Linked DNA regions of Lepisosteus oculatus. The protein of the gene in region 1 purifies or fractionates together with the protein of each later gene. This does not show direct contact. Links are inferred from orthologs where the notes say so. Each region holds a gene or a part of one and is shown in the gene's direction. Other genes may lie near its edges.

The links. The genes of interacting proteins can lie anywhere in the genome.
Region 2: the proteins of eif4ba (region 1) and eif4g1a fractionate together in Homo sapiens (co-fractionation; 4 studies listed by BioGRID, with this or other methods). This does not show direct contact. The link is inferred for Lepisosteus oculatus from reciprocal best matches to the Homo sapiens genes EIF4B and EIF4G1.
Region 3: the proteins of eif4ba (region 1) and usp11 purify together in Homo sapiens (affinity purification with western blotting; 3 studies listed by BioGRID, with this or other methods). This does not show direct contact. The link is inferred for Lepisosteus oculatus from reciprocal best matches to the Homo sapiens genes EIF4B and USP11.

What each region holds. Positions count from the first base shown.
Region 1 is NC_090696.1:17,497,173-17,505,098, forward strand, and holds the start of eif4ba (eukaryotic translation initiation factor 4Ba), read left to right. Parts: upstream 1-4,913; 5' UTR 4,914-4,928; coding exon 4,929-5,025; intron 5,026-7,123; coding exon 7,124-7,261; intron 7,262-7,908; coding exon 7,909-7,926. UniProt on the Homo sapiens protein: Required for the binding of mRNA to ribosomes. Functions in close association with EIF4-F and EIF4-A. Binds near the 5'-terminal cap of mRNA in presence of EIF-4F and ATP.
Region 2 is NC_090708.1:18,069,633-18,077,349, forward strand, and holds the start of eif4g1a (eukaryotic translation initiation factor 4 gamma 1a), read left to right. Parts: upstream 1-4,701; 5' UTR 4,702-4,906; intron 4,907-4,912; exon of another isoform or gene 4,913-5,329; intron 5,330-7,445; exon of another isoform or gene 7,446-7,465; intron 7,466-7,717. Other genes in the region: psmd2 (26S proteasome non-ATPase regulatory subunit 2), read left to right, coding at 1-76, 590-772.
Region 3 is NC_090697.1:76,579,261-76,586,617, reverse strand, and holds the start of usp11 (ubiquitin carboxyl-terminal hydrolase 11), read left to right. Parts: upstream 1-4,341; 5' UTR 4,342-4,432; coding exon 4,433-4,548; intron 4,549-7,357.

The sequences.
Region 1 (7,926 bases):
AATTGGCCCTGGTGTGAGTATGTCTGTGTGTTTATCCTGTGAGGGACTGGTGTTTTGCCCAGGGTGTATACTGCCTTGCTCGCATTGCTTGTCTGGATACGCTCTGGCTCCCCTGAAACCCTAAATTGGATGAAGCATTTAGAAAATGATTGGATGGATAGCCTGTTTAGTAGTTAGCAGTTAATTGATCTATGGTTCTTATTTGGCTGTCTCTTGAAGGTCGTCAGGGTATCGGCTTCAATGACATGGCTGGGTAGCTTGTTCCAGACTCCCACACCCCATTTTTAAATGCACTTCAATGCAGTGCTCGCGGGCCATAGTCATGATCCTCTGCTATTCATGATGTGGTCTGTCCCACACAGAGCCAGTTTCCTGGATTTTCGACAGTAGTCTGCTCGTTGCTGAAAGCCATTCCATTTAATTCTCTGGGGCAACTTTTCCTTGATGGGCTTCAATTCCGCTGATAGCAGCTAGGCATCTCTAATCTTTAATCAGATGGGGCATGTACCTGTCATTGTTTGGTATTGTTTAAAATTCTGCCTTATTAAATGGCTGTTTTTGAACTCAATTCAAATACCAAATACTGTGAACATGGCAATTTTAAGAATCCCATGACTTAAATTGAATATTTTGCTAATCCACAGAACAAACCTACTCAATGGTTTTTCTACAAAAATGTTTTTTTCACTATTTGTTCATTTGGATATTAATGTAACCTTACACCACTGTGTTTTCATTTTGCATTCAGATATATATGCCAGGCAACATACAGTGCTGGTCCTGGGGGGTCAGTGTGTCTGCAGGGTGTCCAGTCCTGGTCCTGGGGGGTCAGTGTGTCTGCAGGGTGTCCAGTCCTGCTCCTGCAGGGTCAGTGTGTCTGCAGGGTGTCGTCCTGGTCCTGGGGGGTCAGTGTGTCTGCAGGGTGTCGTCCTGGTCCTGCAGGGTCAGTGTGTCTGCAGGGTGTCCAGTCCTGGTCCTGGTGGGTCAGTGTGTCTGCAGAGTGTTCAGTCCTGGTCCTGCAGGGTCAGTGTGTCTGCAGGGTGTCCAGTCCTGGTCCTGGGGGGTCAGTGTGTCTGCAGGGTGTCCAGTCCTGCTCCTGGGGGGTCAGTGTGTCTGCAGGGTGTCCAGTCCTGCTCCTGGGGGGGTCAGTGTGTCTGCAGGGTGTCCAATCCTCCTCCTGGTGGGTCAGTGTGTCTGCAGGGTGTCCAGTCCTGGTCCTGGGGGGTCAGTGTGTCTGCAGGGTGTCCAGTCCTGGTCCTGGGGGGTCAGTGTGTCTGCAGGGTGTCCAGTCCTGGTCCTGCAGGGTCAGTGTGTCTGCAGGGTGTCGTCCTGGTCCTGGGGGGTCAGTGTGTCTGCAGGGTGTCCAGTCCTGCTCCTGGTGGGTCAGTGTGTCTGCAGGGTGTCTAGTCCTGGTCCTGGGGGGTCAGTGTGTCTGCAGGGTGTCCAGTCCTGGTCCTGCAGGGTCAGTGTGTCTGCAGGGTTTTAAAGCAGCAGCAACTGAAGAGCTGGAAAAGGCTGTTAAATTGGTCCAGTTAAGCCTGTTACTAGCTGGTTTATCTCATTACGATATGGAACCCTGATACAGTATGTGCCTCATGTAAGAAACGCCGCATAGTAGTTCTGTATGTAGTGCATTACTGCCATCTAGTGGCAGAAAGTAATTTTGTGTTTTCCACAATGAGGAGGAGCAGCCAGCGCATGTGCACGTACTTACATGGTCAGCTGCGATGTCTGATGGATACTTGGGTAATTTGCACTGCATTCTGTCTTCTCTCCCATAGCATGATGTAGGTGGGCTCAGTAGGGTATGGGCTTCAATAGCTTGGCTTGGCAGCTTGTTCCAGACTCCCACAACCCTTTGGCTAAAGAATTGCCCTCTCTTCTATGTTCTAGGTTTTAAACGCACTTAAACATAATTTCCGCATTATCCTCTAATTTGTTTCACTGTCTGTGAAGACATCCTCTGGGTCGACTTCAATGCCTTTGAGGAAGTACGTGAGATGTATGTGCCATGTGGAGTTTTGTGAGATCTGCCTTTGCTAACATGATCTTGTAATCTTAACCAGTATATTATTACACAGTATTATAGGCACGGTTATAAGATGTCACGATTTCAGGTAACATATCAAGGTGGAATGGCACAGGACACCTGCATGGTAGGTTTTGAAGCTACAACGAAAATGGAAATTCTTTGAATTCTCTTTCAATATTGCACAGGATGTTGAAATCGCCTGTCACAGAATGGGGCACAATGATAGACTCCTTCTGATTCCTTTCTGTGCTTGGACATCGCAGTATCACCTTAAGCTGTCATTAGTGATAGAGTTAAAATTACCGACTGATTCAATTCCTGAATTTATTTACAGTAAATACTGATTTATACAAATTCTGCTTGAAAAGTTCAGAAAAGAAAAAAATACTCTCCTTTTCCATTTAAAACCATCGAACAAACGTTAACGTCCGTTCAGTAGAAAGGGGAATGAATTCTCTTTTACTGGAATTAAAATAAACATAAATATATCTTCCTTAGGGCGGTGACTGCCTACTGCTGGAGAGGACATTTTATTCCGCGCGTACGCCACGGGCACGAATGCGCGCTCCCGGCGATAAGCACGTGACGCCTCCATCCGGGACTCTGACACGGACTCACTCTCCATCATGGCGTCGTCAGGTGAGGTTTATGTGGGGAGAGGAGCTGGGCCGGTGCGGGGATATAGGGTTGGGAGAAGGGCTGTCGGACGCGACTGACTCGACAGAATAAGGAGGAAGGTTATCCTCGTCGCGGGGCAGGCTGTTTGTGTGTTGAAATGGAGTCGGGCACGGGGCTGGAAAGTCCAGACTTCGCTAGCGGACGGAGCCGGGGAGGCGAGGGGGGGGGGCGGATTCGCGGCGCTTTGCCGGATATTATCCGTGAATCTGCGCCACATTGCGCGGGGTCTCCCTGGGGCTCTGCCACACCGAGGCCCCTGGGCTTTTCTTTTCTTTATTTTAGGCTAGGCCGGGATTGTCACATGCAGTGCTGTTGCGGCCCGATTGCTGCGCATGCACTCGGACCGATTGCCACATTGTGCCCCCCGCCCGGCGCTGTAGAAGCAGGCGCCCTGTCTGCGCGGCGGCGCAGGCGCGGTGACGGGCGGAGGTGTGTTGTGGGGCATGGAGGAGCTCCCCACGTGTATCTCGGGTGGGGGCAAGATCGCCAGCGTGCAGGGCGAGCTGGCGGGGCCGACGGGCAAGCATGGTCGTGTGTGCTAATGCCCCCTCCCGTACATGATCCCTTGAGCTCTCTCCTATCTCCCTTCCCGCACTGAGCCGTTCAGAGGCAAAAATCGGCATGGCGCGGCCTTAGCAGTGGGAGGAGGGGGGGAGCCTGTATCTGGCAAGCCAATCGCAAATGAGTTAGAATAAATGGCTAAGGCCTAGCTGGATTTGAGTCACGCGTGTCGGAGCGCTGTGAGGAACAGGGCCCTGTTTGCGATGGGCTTTTTTTTGTGTGTGGTGTGAAGTTCTGGCACCCGTCTGGTTTGTCCGTACGCGATGTCCCGATTCGAGTCGGCTGGTCGTGCTGAAGCATTGAGGCTTATGTTCATACAGAATAGTGGAACAGCCCCGTCCCCCCTACCCCCCGTGAGTGTCTCATCACGCGTTCCAGTCTGGACCCAGACGTGCTGTCAGAAGTCCAAGTGCTTTTTCCGATCGTCTGCTGTTTTCCCAACCATCCGCACAGATCGCTGACGATTCAGTTATTAACTTGGTTTTAGGAACAGGCTCTGTGAGCTCAAAAACTGTCAGATGAGAAGGGGGGGAGGGGATACAGGCGTAGTTCTATTTTAATAAACCGCTCCGTTTTCACCACGGTGAAGTAGCGCCTCCGTTTGATCACGCTTGTAGCGCGACTTCTTCTACAAAAGGGCGTGTGTATGGCCGTGGTCCCAGGGTTTATAGCTCCGGCGGAAGCTGCAGTCGTAGTGAAACAGCAGTTGTCACTGAAGATGCCTTATGTAATTGCTGGTTGAAACGCTGTCGAGTTACGTTGGGTGGTAAGTCGATCTCGTCGGTCTATACCAGTCCTTTTGTACGCCATCTCAAAGGCTGGGCGTGTGCATCACACCCTGCTTTGTTTACTACCAGGGGCAAAGCCGCCTGCTGTCATTCCGAGATAAAAAAAAGGCAAAGAAGTGAAGAGACGGTTTTCTTTGGCCTCTTATTGAACGTTTACACTCCTTCGCTGAGCTCCGCTCGTCTTGAGCTTTTATGTGGGTATGCACCAGTTAGAATGGAAGGTTTTCCTGCCAGCATCTGAAAGGACACCGAGTTGGTCTTGCTGGATTACCTAAGCATGCTGAGGTTACAGCTGCCTGAGCCCCGTGTTTTGGATTGTGTTGGGGGGGGGGGGGGGGGGGGGTCTTTGTGCCATTTTAATGATCATAGTAATGGTTCTTCCTTAGTTGATTAGATTAGTGAAAGTACTGAACACTAGCAAAATTCCCACTGGCAAAAAAGAGAACATTTCAAAGTCTTAAAAACCTTTGATTTTTTTTTTGTTGGAGTATAGGAGAGAATGAGATTTCTATCACTTTTTTTTTCTGGGATGCATTCTATCTATGTATTCCATTTTTTCTTTCTAATCCCCTTGTTCACTGCATTCCTGGGTGAAGTCAAGTAACCAAACGCAGGGGATGGTGCAATGCATGCTAGACCACAGTCTGAACATTTTTTATTAATCATCCAAAACATTTGATTTCCTGAATGAACATGTTGTGCTTCTAAACTGGTCTGAGATGGTTGTCTGACTTACGGGTGGACTTTTTTATCTTGTTTCAGATGTAAACTGTCTGAATGCACCCAGTTGCGGTTGACCTGCCAATAAAAAGACTTTGTTCTTCTTGTTTTTAACGTTAAATTAATCGGAGTAGCGGTTAGGGCTCTGGATGGCAGACTGGAAGATCACAGGTTCAAATTTTGTCTGGAGCAATACTGTTGTGGTCTTGAGCAACGTACTTCACTCAGTAAGCTTCACTTGTTCCAGTAAGTGCCCTGCTGTAAAACTGTGCACCAGTTTGTCCTTGTCAAAAATCATTTTTCCTCATGGAAATTCATTCTCGTCTTAGTGGTACAAAAATACTCAACTTAAAGGGCTTTGCTACTGAAGCAGATGCTCATTTGTGTGAGCTGAAGAATGAGACATGGTGATTTTAGAATTTAATTGAAGGATTATTTATTGATTCCAGGAAATGGCAAAATTGTTTTGAATTAAAGTAATTTTCAGGCTGTCGAGCCAGTGGAATATCCTGAGTAAGGAAAGGCCAGGAACACAAAGAGAAATTGATGCAAAAGTCATCACCAATCGGTAATCTTTAACTCTGGTAATGGATTAGCATCAGTGTTTTGTGAGCCTCTGTGTTGAGCACACATGCTGGGGTCATCTTGCCTCTTGCTTCATACATATAGCACAGCCCCCATTTAGAGCTCTGTCCCGGTCCTGTGTTTTCTAGGCCAACGCTGTTCCCAGATATTTTCCTTGTCTCACCTCTGTAACCTCTCATGCTGAAGAAAAAAAAGGCAGATGTTTCTCCTCATCATCTATCCAAACGGTTTTTAATTTGATTATTTTGTCAGACCGGTGAAAGACCCCTTTGCGGAATCTGCACATGTTGCAAACATTTCATTTTTTGTAAGAAAGGAGACAGGACTTTATAGTCTTTCTTTTAAATCCAGGCACTACATGTAAGTACATATTTGTCTGGGTTACAAGGGTTTAATTGTGGTTTTAATGATTATGATGTATTGCAGAAACTCTTGGGAAGTTTTATAAATATCTTTGTGAATATCTGACTGAACTCCCAGTCAGACTGAAACTGCATCCTTGAGGGCAGGGGAGTGTAGTGCTTATGTGATACATTAGTGTAGGTGGATGTTTGGGTTATACTTCTCATCTGCTCTTTAACCCATAATCATTACTTTGTCAGTTCTTGTTGTTTCTCTTGGTAATTTAATTTGTTTAACCTTTTTGGGGTTCTTACTTCTGCTGGTCTGGAGCATGTGAGTTCATCTATGAAGTACGTGGGTGACCACAGTTTGGATAAAAGTACAAATGTTGCTGTTTTAGGACTGCAGTAGGTAAGCTGGTGGAGAATAGCAGCTACATATCACCCAGGTGGTGCTGCTATTCAGTGGTGGATGAAGTGATTCCCTTCCTATATGTAATGTGTTTGGGGTGTTTCAGGATGAAATGTGTTGTATAAATAGAGTTTTTTCCCTTAAGAGTACGGTAACAAAATATGCAGGGTTTTAACAGTTAAGAACTTGCTGTTTACCCTTTTAATTTCTGAAGAATGGAATCTTATTAAGGAAATGATCTGTAGCAGAGATTTAACTAGATTTGTAATACAATTGTGATCTAGCAAAAATAACTTTTCGGAAACTGATTTTGCCACATTGTGTTCTTATGTTGGTATTTCATCTCTGCTGCTGTTTTTCAGAATAAACATATCTTGTTATTTTTTTGTAGTTTGGGATAATTATTTTAATATTCTTGAAAGTAAGGTTCCCTTTTTTTGATTATGCACTGATGTTCTCTTGGTGTGGGGATGACTTAGTATAATAAGTTTATAGTAGCAGAGCATCCTTTTTTGAAAAATCATGATACTGGCACAGTAACCTGTGAACCGCCTCTTTATTTTTGTGTACCTCTCATCAACATCTGCAGAGTATATCATGGCAATCATACAGAACTTGTCTTGATTTACAAGCCACAGAAGCAGGTTAAACACTGAGGGTGGCAGTATGACCTTTTGTACACTCACGTTGCCTACTCCTGATTTGTCTGGAGTCACAGCACCTCGGGGTCAGTCTCCATGCTCATATCATAGGCATCTTTCAGTCCATGCCTGGCAACCAGACTGGATCCTGTTTGTGTAGCAGCCTAGTCTTTGCAATGTTTAAGGAACTGTGGACTCTTGTACAGATTATACTGAGGTGGAAAAAATGTTTCTGGTTCAAATGTATTTGTTGGTGAAACACCTTAATTCCTTATCTTAGTTTAATTTGGGGAGATCATGGCATTATATCAGCAGGAATGTTTCCTTTACAACAAAGCCATTATTTTTTTTTTGTTTATCCTCAGGTAAGAAGAAGAACAAGAAGGGGAAGACCTTAACTCTGACCGATTTCCTGGCAGAGGACAGTGGTGGCAGCACCCCTAGCTACCCCACGGCCAAGCCCACCAGCTGGGCAGATGAGACGGATGACCTGGAAGGAGATGGTGAGTGAACAAGAAGGACATCAGATTCATCGGGGTCATGTTCATGAAACGCCAAGCCTGTGCTTTTTCTTGCTTAATAAATGAAGCAATTCTCAGGTGTTGCCTGCTTGGACTGTTAACACCTTTTCTTTATTTTGTGGTAGTTGGGAGTTCTGTAAAAAAAAGGTGTATTCAGGTTATTTAGGTGATTAAATGATAAGCTGTGAATGTCATGTTAAATGACTTTAAGCATTATTTCAAGCACCAGGTTTTTAACAATGCCTGAGTTCAGATGCAGAATGACCAGAATACAGAAGTGTCACTACAAATTAATATTTTCCTGTATTGTAAAAAAAACACATTTTCTCTTGATACATCTGCATTTGTAAATATTTTCAAAAAGAGTAAATTGAGATGTGTGCAAATTAAAGAGGCTTATAATCATTTTTCTTTTGTTTAAAATCATTTTCATAAATCAGTCATCCGTCTATCGTTTTATAAGACGTTTTTCTCCAAACAGTGTAGATTTATGAACAAACCTCCCCCCCCCCCACCCCAACCCCGAGTTAAAGTGCGAGAGCTTTGTAACAAATTCTTGATTACGTGTTGGAAGCTGCCCTTTTAAGCCTGAATGCTCCCTGTTTCTCGGTGTCTGGGGTGACCCACAGTTTCCACTGCCTGGCACA
Region 2 (7,717 bases), on another chromosome or scaffold:
AGCCATGCAGCCCCGCATGCTGGTGACGTTCGACGAGGAGCTGCGCCCGTTGGCGGTTTCTGTGCGTGTTGGACAGGTGAGTCTGGAAAGGGACCTGCAGTATGTAACCTAGTCAAGGACAGAAGTCTCAGTAACCACTTAATAAACAACCTCTGTTTGTCCATTAAATCCAGTTGAAATTATTAGATAGATACTTTATTGATCCCGTGAGGGAAATTGCAGAAAATTTCCCTTGCAGAAAATTATTGTGTTTAACTGTTATAATCAAAGCTGCAGCCCCAACTTGTGCCACATTCTTTATTAATGCATTCATTCATGATGCATAAATTACCACTGTGTAACAATTATACAGGTAATAGCTCCCCTTTAGTGACAACACTGCTAATATTCAGTAGTTAAGCTGGTATGGATAGAAAAAGACATGGCTTCAAGTGTCTTAATAAAGATGGAATGGAATAGTGCTTCACACCTAATGTAGTTCTGAGAAGCTTGCAGTCCAGATAACTGAATGATTACACTAGCTGCCATCCTGCAAGAGCAGACAGGCTGGTGTTGGGGTGTTAGTTTCATGTGTTTTGTGTGTCTCCAGGCGGTGGATGTGGTGGGACAAGCAGGGAAGCCCAAGGCCATCACAGGCTTCCAGACCCACACCACACCGGTGCTGCTGGCCCATGGGGAGAGAGCCGAGCTGGCCACCGAGGAGTACTTGCCCGTTACGCCCATCCTGGAAGGCTTCGTCATCCTGCGCAAGAACCCCAACTATGACGCCTAGAACTCCCTCACCCCCTATGGGGGCTCTCACTGCCCCTGGACTTGTCTCACTCTCATTCTGTTGTATTCTGCCCCCTGGGCTAGGAGAGCCATCTCCTGAAGAAGGAGACCACAATGCTGCGAGAGGAAAACCAGCACCCACAGATAATGCGTTTTGGCAGATGTTTATCATGTTTTTTTTCCTTTTGTAATAAGCGCATGAAATGCCAGTCTGTTATAACCAGAATTATTTTTTTTGTTTTGTTGGTTTTGTTACAGTACTGTTAAAGGTTATGTAATAAATTTATTTCTGGTCCACTCTCTGGACTGTGAAAGTTTGTTTCGGTGTGTAATTGAAGACCATAATTGAGGGGCTGTAATGTCAACAGAAAAATTATTTAAAAAACCCTACAGAATTTTATGAATGCATTGTGGACTGTCATAAACAAGGTTTGCAGTGCACAGGCAATGTTTTGGACTTGCAATAAAGTGCTATGTATTTTTTAGCATGGGACAATTTGTCAGTAAATCCATGTATTAAATATTCTAATAAAATTTCTTGTTCTCTAATTGCTTTCAAGCAGAGGGTTAAAAACTTTCAGTGTCCATTCAGTTTCGTAAAGTTTCCCAAGTCTAAACTTAATTTGAATACTAATTTGTTTCTGCTGTCATTCTGCATTGAAAACCTGTAGGTGTACTTATATTGATATATGCTGCGCTTAGTGTTCTGAGGATTTTTCTGGTACATATGGTGTTAATTTACTATACTGGTTTTCTGACTTGTGAACATCCAGTTAACCAGGTGATCATTTTAATTATATTTTCCTGCTTCCTCTGTGCTTGTCACAGAAGTTTTTCAGTGGAGCTTTGAGTGAAAGTTAAAATTAGAACATTAATTTTGACTGCTAAATAGACTTATGTTATTTTTTTATATATTTAACATAAGAGAAAATTCCTTGAAGTTTCAGACTGGAATGTGGAAGAATGTAATGCTCTCGCATACAATAGCTGCTGGCATGTCTGTGATGTTGCACATATCTCTGGGTAGAACTGCTGTACAGCCGTGCTGAAGGTCTCAGTTCCTCTGCATCCTCTCCTGTGTACATTAGAGCAGTACTCCTGATCCTGGAGTGCCAGAGCCTTGACAATTTTATAGGTAACCCACACTCCTCAGTAGCTACATTATAACTAAATTGTGATTAGGTCAATGACTCACTTTCCTCACATAATTCTAGATTTTCTTGCTCTATTCCACTCCCCTAGCAACCCTCTCACTGTATCACTGAAAAGGGTGGTGGCACTGGTTTCGTGTGTGCTGACTTAATCCTGCCTTGTCCACTCTCTTCTAACACCTTCGAGTTTCATGCTGTTTATCACACTGGGTGGAGTAATGGTGAGGACTTCAAACTATAAAAGGATGTGGATTCAACACCCAGGTGGGACACAGGTGGGTATTGAGAAAGGTACTTCTCTCAAGTTGGTTTAGTGAAGCGCCCTGTTGTATTCATGGGTAGTTAGTAAATGATAGCTTGTTCTTAACCTGCCAATCAGCTGATGTTTGTGTTACCATTTCCTAGCTGGGGTTTCCTAAATGAGTTGAAAGGCTTCCTCTCATTTATAACTTGTAATCAATTGATGTATGTGTCCCAGTCCTGTTGTTGTTTCTCCTGTCTGTCTGACATGTCAGAATCATGACTCTGGTACCCCTGAGTGGAAAGCAGTGAGGGGGTAGAAGACTCTTAGCCTTTATGCATGATTTGAACCATTGTGTGCCAGTGACTGAGCCTATGTCTCTGTTCTGTGACTGAGGAGACAAACCTGTTGGCCTGCACAGAAGCTGCTGTTGGTAAAGAACATTGTCTGGCCTGCCAGTTTACAAAATCCTCTCTACAACCCCCAACTTTTAACAAATTACACTACACTGACACTTAAGAAACCTAAACACTTAAAGCTCTATCATTTTGCTCATTGCAAATAGTTGGAATAGTGCTGTAACTAAAAACTAAGTTTGTGTGTAACCATGTCTTCTGTTTGCTTTGTGAACCCAAAAGCATATTGGTGCTGTTTTCCGTAGCTTAGCATTAGGGTTAGTGCATTTTTATCTTAGGATCACCAGTCCATCGTACTCACAAACACTAGGACTGCTTAAAGATGCCAGTTAACATAGGCAGCATGTCTCTGGGCTGCGAGAGTAAACAGGATCACCTGGAGTAATCCAACAGGGTAACTAGGAGAAATGCAGACTTCACACGGAATCACCCCAAGCCAGAAGCAAACCCTGGAACCAGGAGCTGCAAGGCAGCAGTGCTAACCATCACACTACTACGACACACTCATTATGTGCTGTTATGGTAGTTTAGCATTCGGAAAATATAGGAGATGAAAATGAATCTTCTGAACCCAAAGATCAGTTGCTCTTTAGTCAGTAATATACTTTCATTTAATAAATTTTGAGGTTAGTTTTTGTTCAATTTAACTAAAAACGCACTGGTAAAAATTGGCTACATTGGTCAGCACAGACAAGATAACAGATGAAAGAAAACGTTTCAGCCGTGGAGCCTTCTTCTGGTGTCAACACCTGAAGAAGGCTCCATGGCTGAAACGTGGTTTCTTTCTTCTTTTTTTCAGCATGGAATAAACCTATCACTTATTCCTTTGCAGCCTACGCATGCTGACGCAGCTACCCACCCAAGATAACAGATGGAAAGAAGGGGATGCTGTGACTAGCAGTAGATAAGTCACCTCCAGCTATTTCTGCTGGCCCAAACACTTTAATCATATGTGTGAAAAGCATAAATTTGATGCTTTTTAAAAAGGCAGTGCATTGTTGTGCTCCACTGTCACCACACTGTCAACTGAAGGTCATTCCACTGTGTTACAAATTGTGAATGTGCTTATCACATTTCAAGGAAAAGCAATTCCTGGTGAGGAAAAGCACATTTTTGTGTTGCTTTTATTAAGAAATATAGAGGATATAGAAAGCCTGCACTCAGGTTTTGCTCTTTTGTGGTGTCAGATGTGACACGTGATCAACCAATGGTTTCAAGTAACCATAAGAACTGGGACACATTCACTTCGGGTAAATCTTGGTGTGAAGTGTAGGGTGTAAAATTCAGTATTGGATTGTATACTCTTCTGAGGCAATAACTGCATGGTGTCCACAAACCTCTGATCTCACCAAACTCGTTTGTTGAAATATTTTAGATACTTTGCTGTAGTAACTCAGAGTCAGTGTTCTGAGTTGCAAAATCAGTGCACAACTGGATTTCAACCTGGATCTTCAACCAAGACCTTGGTTGCGTTGGCTGTATGCTTTGGATCACTGTTGAACTGCATGGTATAGCACTGGCGAGTAAGTATGGCAGTATTTTCTTCTTTAAAATCAGATTAAATGTTTCTGTAAACTTCAGAATACATTCTACTGGTGCATTCATTAGTTGTATAATCAATTCTAGCAGCAGCTCTGCCCACCAGCTACTCTTCTATATTATATGCAGTATAGATGAGTCCTGAGGGTTATGACTCAGGGAAAGATGGAAGGAAAAGGGGATATCATGACTAATAGTGAACAAGCCAGCAGCAGCTATTTCTTCTGGTCACTACACGTTAAACCTCAGTTAACCTTCCTGATTTAAGTACCTTTCTGTGGAGAGACAAAATGAGGTTCCATTGAAAACATTCAGACACAGTCCGTGATTTAAAATAAGTTTCAGTATCAATAGTTACATTGACCCCTCAGACATTGAAGGCTGCCCACTCTGTTGCATTAAGAAAATCTATGTGTTTGCAACAGTTGCTACACAGCCCCACCCACACTTGCAAAAAAGACCCAGCAAGTCTAGATCCTATTATGACCTTTTCTGTGAGGTCACATTCAACATTGAACCTGCCCAAATCTAGCAAGCTTACTTGCACATGGTCAGGTAATGCCACGTATCGTTCTTGAGCAAGTGACAAAAAACAACTTTGTTTATTCTCTAAAAAGCATTTTTCTTATTGGAACGATTGGCAGTCTCAGGTCACATGACGAGGGTGAAGAATTCCTGCCGCCCTAGTCACATGACAAGAGTGTGAGGATTCCCATTGTAATTAACCCGGAAGTCTCTCACGGTTTCCGTGAGGCTCCGTCCGGCTTTGCGGACTCAAGGAGAGAAAGGTAATGATATGGCTCTTCACTTCACTCTTTGCTAAATCTGTATCGTGTGGACACATTGCCGTCAATCCGTGTGCATCTGCGCTTTAAACATGGAGCTCCGGCACAGAAGCTCTCATTCGGGACACATGCTCACCCAATAAGATATATTTAAAGCAGTATTGATTTATTTGATTTCTCCTTTTTTTGTTTTTCTCGTATGCTTCCAGGGGATTTAAAACACACTTCTCGCCTAGATCAGCAGCCCCCCTTTCCCCCAAAAAAAGGTTAGGACACCCTCTTTCCCTTGGAACTGGAGCCGAAGAAGCGATTTATAGGTTTGGGGGAAAAAGTGAATAGAAACGGACGAAGTACGGAGACAGAAAAGATCTTTTCTCTGTGAGCCCTTGTTCTGTCCCCTCTCTGCATGTCCTTTATTCACTTTAGGTAAGCAGTCTCTGGGTTTTATTTTCTTCTTTTTTTCCTGGGAATAGCTGTTTAAATAGTGGTTTCATTCCGGCAGTAAAAACGTTAAGTGTCTGTTTGGGGGGCTCGGTTGTTTTATATATTTCGGACTTGTTTTGCTGCTGACGGGTGGGTGAATCGAGTTGCCTTCTGTGTGCATTTTGGACAGAACTGGCATTTCTGGACCGTGTTTTCGCGTAAGCTGTTTGTCGGGAGTTGGCAAACCCGATCTCTTTAAAATTGACTTCTGCAGAAACGTTTTCACAACCGGATTGGCCGTTATGTAGACGCATTTTTTCCCAGTATCCCGGAGACAGTGTAGTTAAAATGTAGCTGGAAGAGCCCGTATTACTTTTTCGCTTGTGAAGCAAGAATATCATTGGGTTGCAGTGCCACAATACTGGAGCCCGACTCGGGGTAGGCCCCAAGCTTTTTAATTATTTATAATGAAAATAAATGGAAATGTCGGGATTTATACTCCGTAAAGCTTGGGGTTTATAATGATGCCTCGCCGGCCTGTGTCACGGAATCTCTTCTTGGTGATTATTTGTTAGATTCAAATCGCTGCGTGTTTTTAAACAAGATCACTGTCTTCTTGGACTGCGTGCATTCACGCAGATGGGGTTGCTACGCTAGGCCCCCTCGATGGGAGCCCAGGCCCTTCATAGTTCGGTGAAGCTCGGCTGCTTCTTGTAAAATATGGTGGGAAGGGGAGGCAAACCACTGAAGCAGAGGGATTGAGATATAATCTTTGAGTAGTTTGGAGTCGGACCTTATTGTTAAGTTTTGCGCCGGGAGTGAAAAGTCGATTTGCCCCTGTTGAGCGCTGATTGGGAGGACCGACCTACCATATGCTCGGCTGAGAGAGACAGCGTGACTTTAGAGAACCGGCTTCCTCCTACTGCTTGGACACGTACTTTAAACGGGTAGATGAGTCAGTGTTTTCGAATTTTTTTAAGGGATCGGTGTTTTTTTTAAAGGGTGGGTATAAGTTTTAAAAATGCTGCGTTCTCTCTATCGGCCAGTGGGGAAACTGCCTTTCTTGACTCTTAAAAGGCATTGCTTGTCACTTGAGGTCGAGACATTTTTTGTCCTCTTCTAAAAATAAAATGCTGTGGGAGGATAAGCGAGTTTAATTGGGTTTGTTGTGTTTACTGTTTACAGTTAATGTTCAGGACGCTAAATTGGACTTCAAACTCATAAATAGGTACATCTGGTTGGAAGTTCGAGGCCTTCACAGCTCCTCCAGTCTCCTCGCTTCTGGCGATTTTTTAAAATGTGTCTGTACGTTTTTCAGAAGTCGAAATTAAGTTTTGCCGGTTTCCATGTTATACTAGGTAAAAACGTGTTTTATTTATTTCGTAGACGATTTTTTCCAAAGGGTGGCCTTGATCGCAATGTGCATTGACATTTCTGATGGTGGGAACTTATTTTTTTCATTGTTTAATGTACTTTAGGGCTTGGTTGAACCGGTTTTTTCGTTCGGTTGACGTTACAGGGTGCACGACCGGGGGTCTGCGTTATCGTGCGTACGCTGCACTGTTTACAGTCGTTTTGAATGACACTCGGTTTGAGAAAAACGGGAACGTGTTAGGACGATACATCTGCTCGGGTATGTGTGTTTATCCTTATTATTAATTGTAGTAGTATTAGGGGGCGAAAAGACGGACACGGCTGAGTTGTCATTAAAGTTGTGGCGCTTTGCTTTCCCCTTCTCTGTGAAATAGTGACACGTACCGCGTATGGAGAGACTTATATACGTCTTTCTAAATGGCATTACGATATCGATACGGCTCACAACCACCCTTATCCCCCGAGTTCGAGCCTTGTTTGTTTTTGTGGAGTTGGTTTCGAGAGTGAGACGGGGGAGTTATTTTCTGAAGCGGGCCCTTTTTTCTGAAAGTCGAGTTTTCCATCATGGCTGGCAGAGATGGGGGGGATGACACGTTGAGTGTGCCGAGAGGGAGGCCGGGCACTGCGGGGACCAATCCGGAACTTTTAGACCTCTCATTTTAGGATTTGGACACGATTGCTTAACGGACTCACCTTTACTGACCCTGTTGTTGGACAAAACCGTTTAGGCCTCTGTTATTTTGCAATCGTTTTGCAATCCAAGAGGTAGGTTAGTTGTTTCATTACCGTAAATTCACCGAATTAAGCGAAGCTAAATCGCATTTGGCGTATGAAGAGAAGTTTATCAAGGCTGCGGATCCTTACACAGTTTGGGTAGCAGATATAGACATTTCCCGGGGTGTATTTTTGGGGAGTGAAAACGACACGTTGTAACACTGCCGTCCTGGTGAGAGAGAGAGCGGCGTTCAAGGCCTACATAGTAAGGTCGTGAAAAACTCGCGTATTTCAACTTAGTTC
Region 3 (7,357 bases), on another chromosome or scaffold:
TTTTTATAAAAGAACAATAAAGATAACAGATGTATGATGTTGCAAACACGTTTTCTCCTCGTCAAGCTCCTGCGGGATAAGGACATTAAAACAGACCCAAGGCCCGGTGACTTCAGCTTCACGGTTAAGTTGAGACATGTCAGTGGACTGAGAGTCAAACTCGGGGACAGTGGAATTGGTTCTGGTTGGCCAGCTGGGGCTGTACCCTGCACAGAAGAGGTTTCTCCCCTCAGGTGAGATCAACCCCAGAGCTGGACAGCCCTGCGCTCCTCCCGTCTCGCGTTCGTAGCCCTGTAATTGAGCTCAGGGTTTGGCCAGACTGGACAACGGAACCTCGCTGTCCAGGTAGGGGTTTTAAGAGTTTAGAACCCTGCAGCACAGGGGTCTTGTACCACCAGGGCACCCCACGACCCCCTTGACCAACTCTGCATTCCCAGTAGAAACGCGTCGTCTGGTTTCCTATTAAAACTGTACCACTCTGAACCGCCCGTTTCTTTGATATCACGATCGTGTACGGTTGCGGTCCTGCTGGTTAAGTGTTTGGGGGTGTAAGGCGCTGTGCTGCGCTGAGCCCTGGGCTGCCTGCAGAACTGCGTGTTCGCGTTCCAGCCTGTGCGCGTCTAGGACCGCTCCCCTGCCGCTGTTCGGCGCCTCCTTCAGCATCAGGAAGGAAAAGGGAGAAGCGCCGATCGCTTTTCAGCGGCTGCGTCGTCGTAAGCGAGCACAGTGCACTGTAAGGTTTCGCAAAACTGCTTTCAAATACGGCAGGAGCTCCACTGGTGCTCAGCCACTGTCCTGCGGACTCCTACAGGAGAGGGACTGAGCTGTGGGATTAACGGGATGATTAAACTGTCTGTGTCGGACTCCAGCTCTCTGTTTTTTTTTTATTCCGTTTTAATTATTTCAAACAAGAAAATGAAATGTGTTTATTGAACGAATATATGTATATATGATTCTCAAAGATGCTGATTTCTCTCTTATAAACGCACTCTAAAGCTGCAGTAGAATTAAATAATAATGCTGTAATGATGCATTTATAAAAATGCCACGTTCTACGCTAAACCAAGCTGCGAGGTAACACCAATGAAACACCAAGCAGAAAATCGGGCTCTTCTTTTGAGCTCAGCCCCAGAATGCCCTGCTTTCAAGGAGGCCTGGACCTGACACACTGTAGATTAAGATCACTTTATTGGCCATATACAATTTCTTGCAGTAGGAATTTGTCTTTTTTGCATACCCCAGCTTGCTCTCCATGAGACACACAGACAGGGAGAGAAGCTTGAAGTCAGCACGCAGGGTCAGTCATTTATACGGCACCCCTGGAGCAGCTGGGGTGAAGGGCCTTGCTCAGGGGCCCAACGGAATAGGATTCCTCTGCTGGCCGCAGGATTTGAACTGACAACCTTCCAGCCACAGGCGCAGATCCTTGCCCACAGAGCCACCAGTGCACTTAATTGTGCACTGGAGCCCAGGAGAGGAACCACCAGCCGGCTGTAGGCCATCATTCGTAAGACTGATAATAATAATAATAATAATAATAATAATAATAATAATAATAATAATTGCTCACACTTTTATAGCGCTTTTCGGGACACTCCGCTCTTTACAGATAATGTAATAAACATGGGATTCTTTTCTACTGAAATCTGTTCACTACTGCAAACGCACTGATTTCCACCACACCGGTCTCTGCTGCTGGCCATTCCCCGAGACGAGCCTGCTTTTGGAACCGAACTTTCCCTCGGATCCTTTAGAACTGCCGAGCCGCGGTCCGGGATGAAAGGCTGTACTCTGGAGGGGCCCGCCGAACTCGATTAAGATCCGGTTGCGGTGCAACACGGCGTAACAGCCTCATGAATCAGGCTGCATTAAGATGGAGAGTTTATTCAAACGCGTCTCTGCCTTCTTCCCCTGCGTGGAACAAACTCTAGGACGCGTTCTGCGCGCTACACCCCAGAGCGCGAGTGGTGCTCATAATTATATCTTAAACGACCTTAAAAAACTTTGGATCTCATGTTTAATAGCAAATTCTGTTTGCACAGCACAAGTATTTTTATGCAACGTGGTGACGAATTGCATTCTGTAGATTCTGATGCATTTTTCATTGTGTAGCTAAATATGTCCCCATCAGCATAATCTCATATCAATACGGTTTAAGACCACGAAATGCAGGTTTGAAAGCTTTGAATATACGGTTTAGCCTAGAAAGTAGGCGGGCAGGTGAGAAAGCCATCATGTCCCCCACGCAGCACGGCTCTGTCATGGCCACCGAGGCAAATTGGGTGTGAAATGACTCCGAGTCGACTGTCAGGTGAAAGGAAAAGCCAGTGTCAGCCTTCAGGAGGGCCGAGAGAGGGGCAAATAATGGGACACCAGTCTTCAATCTAAAACGATTAGATGCAGTGCCAGGCTGAAGCCTGTTTACAACGCTGACAGCCTGTCACATCCATTTATGTCCTAGCCTTGGCTGTCCCTGTACTGCCCCCCACTGGCAGACCGAAGGCACTGTCTCAGATCCACACATCCCCTGACAACTGTACACCAGGCTGAGGGGATGTTTTGGGGTTTAGGGCAGTGGGGTTCAGGGGGGAATAAAAGAACACACAACGAAAAAGGAAACATGACTGTAGATGTGACCAATCTCGATCAATGGCAATCTGGAACAGTTCGTCACGGGGGGTTAAAATGTCGAATGAAATGATCAAACTAAATAAGCAAAAACCTGAGCAGAAGAAAAGTTAAATCCAAGCTGCACTGTTACCACCTTGTAGCTTGATTTAATCAGGTCTCAGAAGCTCAGCAGGGCTGGGTCTGGTCAGCACTGGAAAGGGGAGGGAGAGACCTCCAGGGAAAACCAGCTTGCTGCTGTGAGTGGTGCTGGTGGCCCAGTAGTTGGACTAATACTCCAGTAGGGTGACTGGGAAACTGAGCTGTAGGAGTTCCTGAAAGTCTGAACACTGAAGGTCCTATAGAACTGTTCCATGGAGTAAGGGTGTTAACCCCAGTGTCTGGGCTAAATTCCACAATGTTGATGATCTTGGCTTTCTTCCCTGTACACTACAGTGGTCGCTGTTTTCATCTGTTGTGGTATAATCAGAATTATAGGGGAATAGTGGCAAGATTGCAAAAAACAGGATGCAAGTCAGCAAGCCTAGCTTGTTTTTGGTTGCTAGTAGCTAATAAGTCTTATGACATCCAGCTTCTTGAAATACACCTGGATATCTGTCTTGCTGGATTCTTGCTCCAGGCTCCCTCCACTCTTGATGTAAATAAGTGCCTCCTGTTCTCAGCCCTGAATGCACTTCCCTGTAGTTTCCTCTTGTGTCTTTGGGGGGGTGTTTCATTGTTCGGTGCAGGATGTTCCTTCAGAGCCCAGGAACACACCAGTCATTTGGGCTGGGACCGAGTTAGGACTGATTCCACAGCCAGGATGTTTGTGTGACAGTGAACAGAATTGTACACAGATACCGTCTTACTAGTGCATTGCACAAATTTAACACAACACCCCTGGATTCAAATTGTTTTTTTAATTTTTTTATTTGCCTTTCTTAAGGCTTTCCCACACTGACTGCAGGAGGAAGAAGATGCGGGAGCAGAAATACCTGAATTGTTTTCACAGGTGTCTTCTTCAAGCTCAGGCTGTCTTGCCTTTATTTTTATTCATGACTTTGGTACCAACACATACTGTAACACTCCTTTGCTGCCTCTACAGTGTTTTCTAGTCTACTTATTTTTCTTTCATAAATGAATTTCACTATTTACTGACTACACCTACATCTGTATTATGTATAAGAATTTGGTTAATAATAATAATAATAATAATAATAATAATAATAATAATAATAGAATGGAGGTGTTATTTATTATATTTGAAGGTCCTTCCTCTGTTGTAGTTCAAACACAAAACCTCTACAACAGTACAGCGTTGTGTGTTTGTAGGGCGCCACCTGCTGAGCGAAAGTGGAACATGTGATTATGAGAACGATAAAGATGTGCTTATCGAAGACATCACCCACTGCTGTAACTCGGAGGATAACACACTCAGTGAAATGTAGTTTGTTCATCCTATTGGAAAGTTATTTCAAGTGTTCACTCTGTAACTGTAAAAAGTACTTTTAGTGGTGTAAATAAATCATACAAATACCAGTGTTTATTATTGTGTTCTTCAATTAAAACCTACACCCTCTTAAAATGCGACTTCGGATTATTAATAACTAATCGGAATGTTAGTGAAAAGGCAGGTGAAACGTGCTCTCGGCCGAAGCGTGTGCGGCGGCAGCGGGGGACTGATTTCACAGTGACACCCCCGGAAGTGGTTTCTCAGCCCGGATGGCTTCCTGCTTCCGGCGGTAGTCGGACCCATCGATCTGCTGTTCCGTGGTTTTTCGGGCAGTTCGCGAACCCTCACAGACACAGACATTGATGATCTATCATGGCTGCTGCTGCTGTTACCGCGTCTTCGTCGGCAGAGCCGCCGGGATTGGAGACCCAGCGCGGAGAGATAGAAGATATTATCCAGGGTCACAGGCTGCGCGCCGGGGACAGCTGGTAAGGCGATCGCCGGAGAGGAAACCCGAGGCTGTGATCTGACAGGGTGTAAATTAACTCATTTTCCCCTGTCCCCCCACTTCACCTGACTGAAGATCGGTCCGCCACAGCGATCCCCTGCGTTGACTCGGTCCGTGTAGGTGCAGGGGTTTGTACGTGATGAATTCACAGCAATCGCCGAGCTGCTTTCGCTACTTTTTCATTGGAGGGGCTTGCTAGTGTAACTGCGTTCATATTGGCTTTCGGCAGCGGGGGTGTCATTTCAATCGTTCAGCTTAAAGTCCCGCACAGCCCCCTCCAGGGGAGCCGGGACATGGAGATGTCTCGGGTGGGAAAATGGAAAAGTTCAGGGCGTCCCCGATAAGTTTGTCTTGCTTGTGGGTGAGCGGTGAAGCTGCAGGTCTGAGCTGGTTTCGTTTTCTCTCCCTCTGACGTCAACTCCGAGAGAGGGAAACGACGCGGAGAGTCGGATCCGTTCACTCTCAGCAAGCCTTCGGGCCGGGCTCTTCCTGGCCGTGACTCAACCCCCGTCTTCAAGCGCTGTTCAATCACAGAGGCAGCACCAGGCGTGTCGAGCGAGCGCCTGTTGACATCCCCCTCTGTCGAGATGTCAGACCTGTACGAGCCGTGGTCCGCTCTGCATTACTGGATTTTCCAACGCGGGTTTAGCTCGTCCTGTCGGGCTGGGGCTTGATGAACAATTTTAGGATAAAGTGCCTTCTGGTTTTTGGACCGGTTGCCCGGATCGGCCGGCATGATGCGTGTTTCCTAGCGACTGTCGGGGATCGGTTTCGCAGGTGCCCGGCCTGGTGCCGTCTCGCCACTCTGCAGAGACCCGCCTGCCCGTGGGCTCTGGACCTGTTTTTCCACGACCTTTCCGGACGTGGACCTGAAAGAGTGCAGCTGCAATCGTTTGACCCGGTTAGGAGCAGGGCCATGCGTGGCGTGCACTAGTTCAAAGTATCTGCTTTCATTATTCAAAAGATGACAATTCAAAAGATAGTTTTTCCTCATTTGCCCCAAGAATTGGTTGATAAAACATTTGTTGTGCATATCCAGGTATATCAGGATGGCCTGTAATGACAAGTATGTCTAAATGGGAGAGCTTTTAGATGATGGAAGTGGAGCATCACCTCCACTCTGGGAAGGGAGTGATGTGAGTTTGTTATGGTTTTATTTGACAAAGCCTTTTGAGAAAAATTTCTCAGAGTATCTGCCGGGGGACCTGTTCCTAGCACTGGGTGTTTTAGTGGAGCGATCTGAATGGCATATCTCACTCATGGTACAACAGCTGTGCCTCACCACGGATTCGAACCCGCAACCCTGACCTCCCCCCCCCCCAACTGTGGGCTTCAGTCCTGCTCTGCAATTCCTGCCAGAGGTGCACCAACTTGTTTATTAATGTTTCATTTATCCTGGGACGAGGATCAGTTTTGCTCAGGGTTGTCTGCTTTGGGAAGTTTGAGTCTTTCTGGTCTGGAAAAAAAAAAGGAATGTGTTCATTTGCACAGGGAGCCCAGGCGGTTGTGCTCTTGTCTTGTTTGCACGCCGACAGGAGCTCACCAGCCTGACCCTGGTCCAGGCCATCCCTGACTGGCTCTCCAGCAGCCGATGCGCAGGTCCGCCGTAGCGCCGTCTGCTCCTGAGCACGCTCTCCCACTTATGTCCTCAGGCCACAGCAATGATGAGGTTTTTCTGTTTGTGTTTTTGTTATGTATCCACGCAATTCGGAATTGCCATTTGGAAGATTTCAAGTCTCGGCTGACAGCAGCAGATTGGGCAGAGCAGACAGGCTCCTACCACATGTCTTGGGCTTCTTCGCCCCCTACAGGAGGACAAGCGTCAGGACAGGCCCCGCTATGTTACTAGGAGCTGAGAGAGCTCTGCTTGACTAGTCCCTGATGGACAGCACCGTTTGGGGAATCCCTGTTACAGTGCATTAGTGATGTGACCCAGGCTCGAACCCGGGATCAGGGAGCTCAGCCTAAGCTGGGGCTCGCACCTGTACGGGAGGAGTCACTGGGGAGCCCCATACGTTTCTCAGAGGACACCCAGTGACCCTCAAAACTCGCCAAGCCGGGGAATGAAGCTTCCTGGCCACCCAGTGCAGAATCGTCGCTGCGCAGAGTGAGGGAAACCCCAGCAGCCCTGCGGCACCAGTCCGCGTGCTGTAGCTGGGCGCAGTTTGAGTCTACAGCTGGACGGGCAGAGAGGGAGCCTGTTCTGGCTCGAAGCAAGACAAGACAAGCCGGGGGTCGGCACCTCTCCCACTGCCTCTCTGGCAGGACTCCTCGTGCCCTGGCTGGGCTCGCGAGGCCTGGATCGCGGTCAGCGTCCGGCCCTCTCCCGTGACGCCAGTCCATTAGCATCTGCAGGTGAAGATTCCCCCCCTCGCTCTAGTGTGGCGAAACCTCTGGGTCAGTGAAGAGCACCCCTGGCCCAGGACACCCACAGCCCTGCAGTGGGGGGAGGTCGCCTTTCGTGTGACGTTTGGCCCACATGGAGATCCCAGCAGGCGAAAGAAGGACACAACTGACCACAGGTCTAAAGCAGATGCACTAGTTTAGTGGATAAAAATAATATACAGTTTAAGTAATGTATCATCGATTGTGTTGCCTTTCCTGGGTATATATCATCTGGCCAACAACATCCTGCTATCTGAGAAAAACAAATCAGCAGATAGAATGCTATACTTCAGCTTCCTCTGTCAGTAGCGTTTTAGAAGTCACACCTGTATTACCTCCAGCTTGCCTTATTTCTGTTACAGTGTTTTTCTGGACTATTCTTAGAATCCTTTGACGTGTTTCTT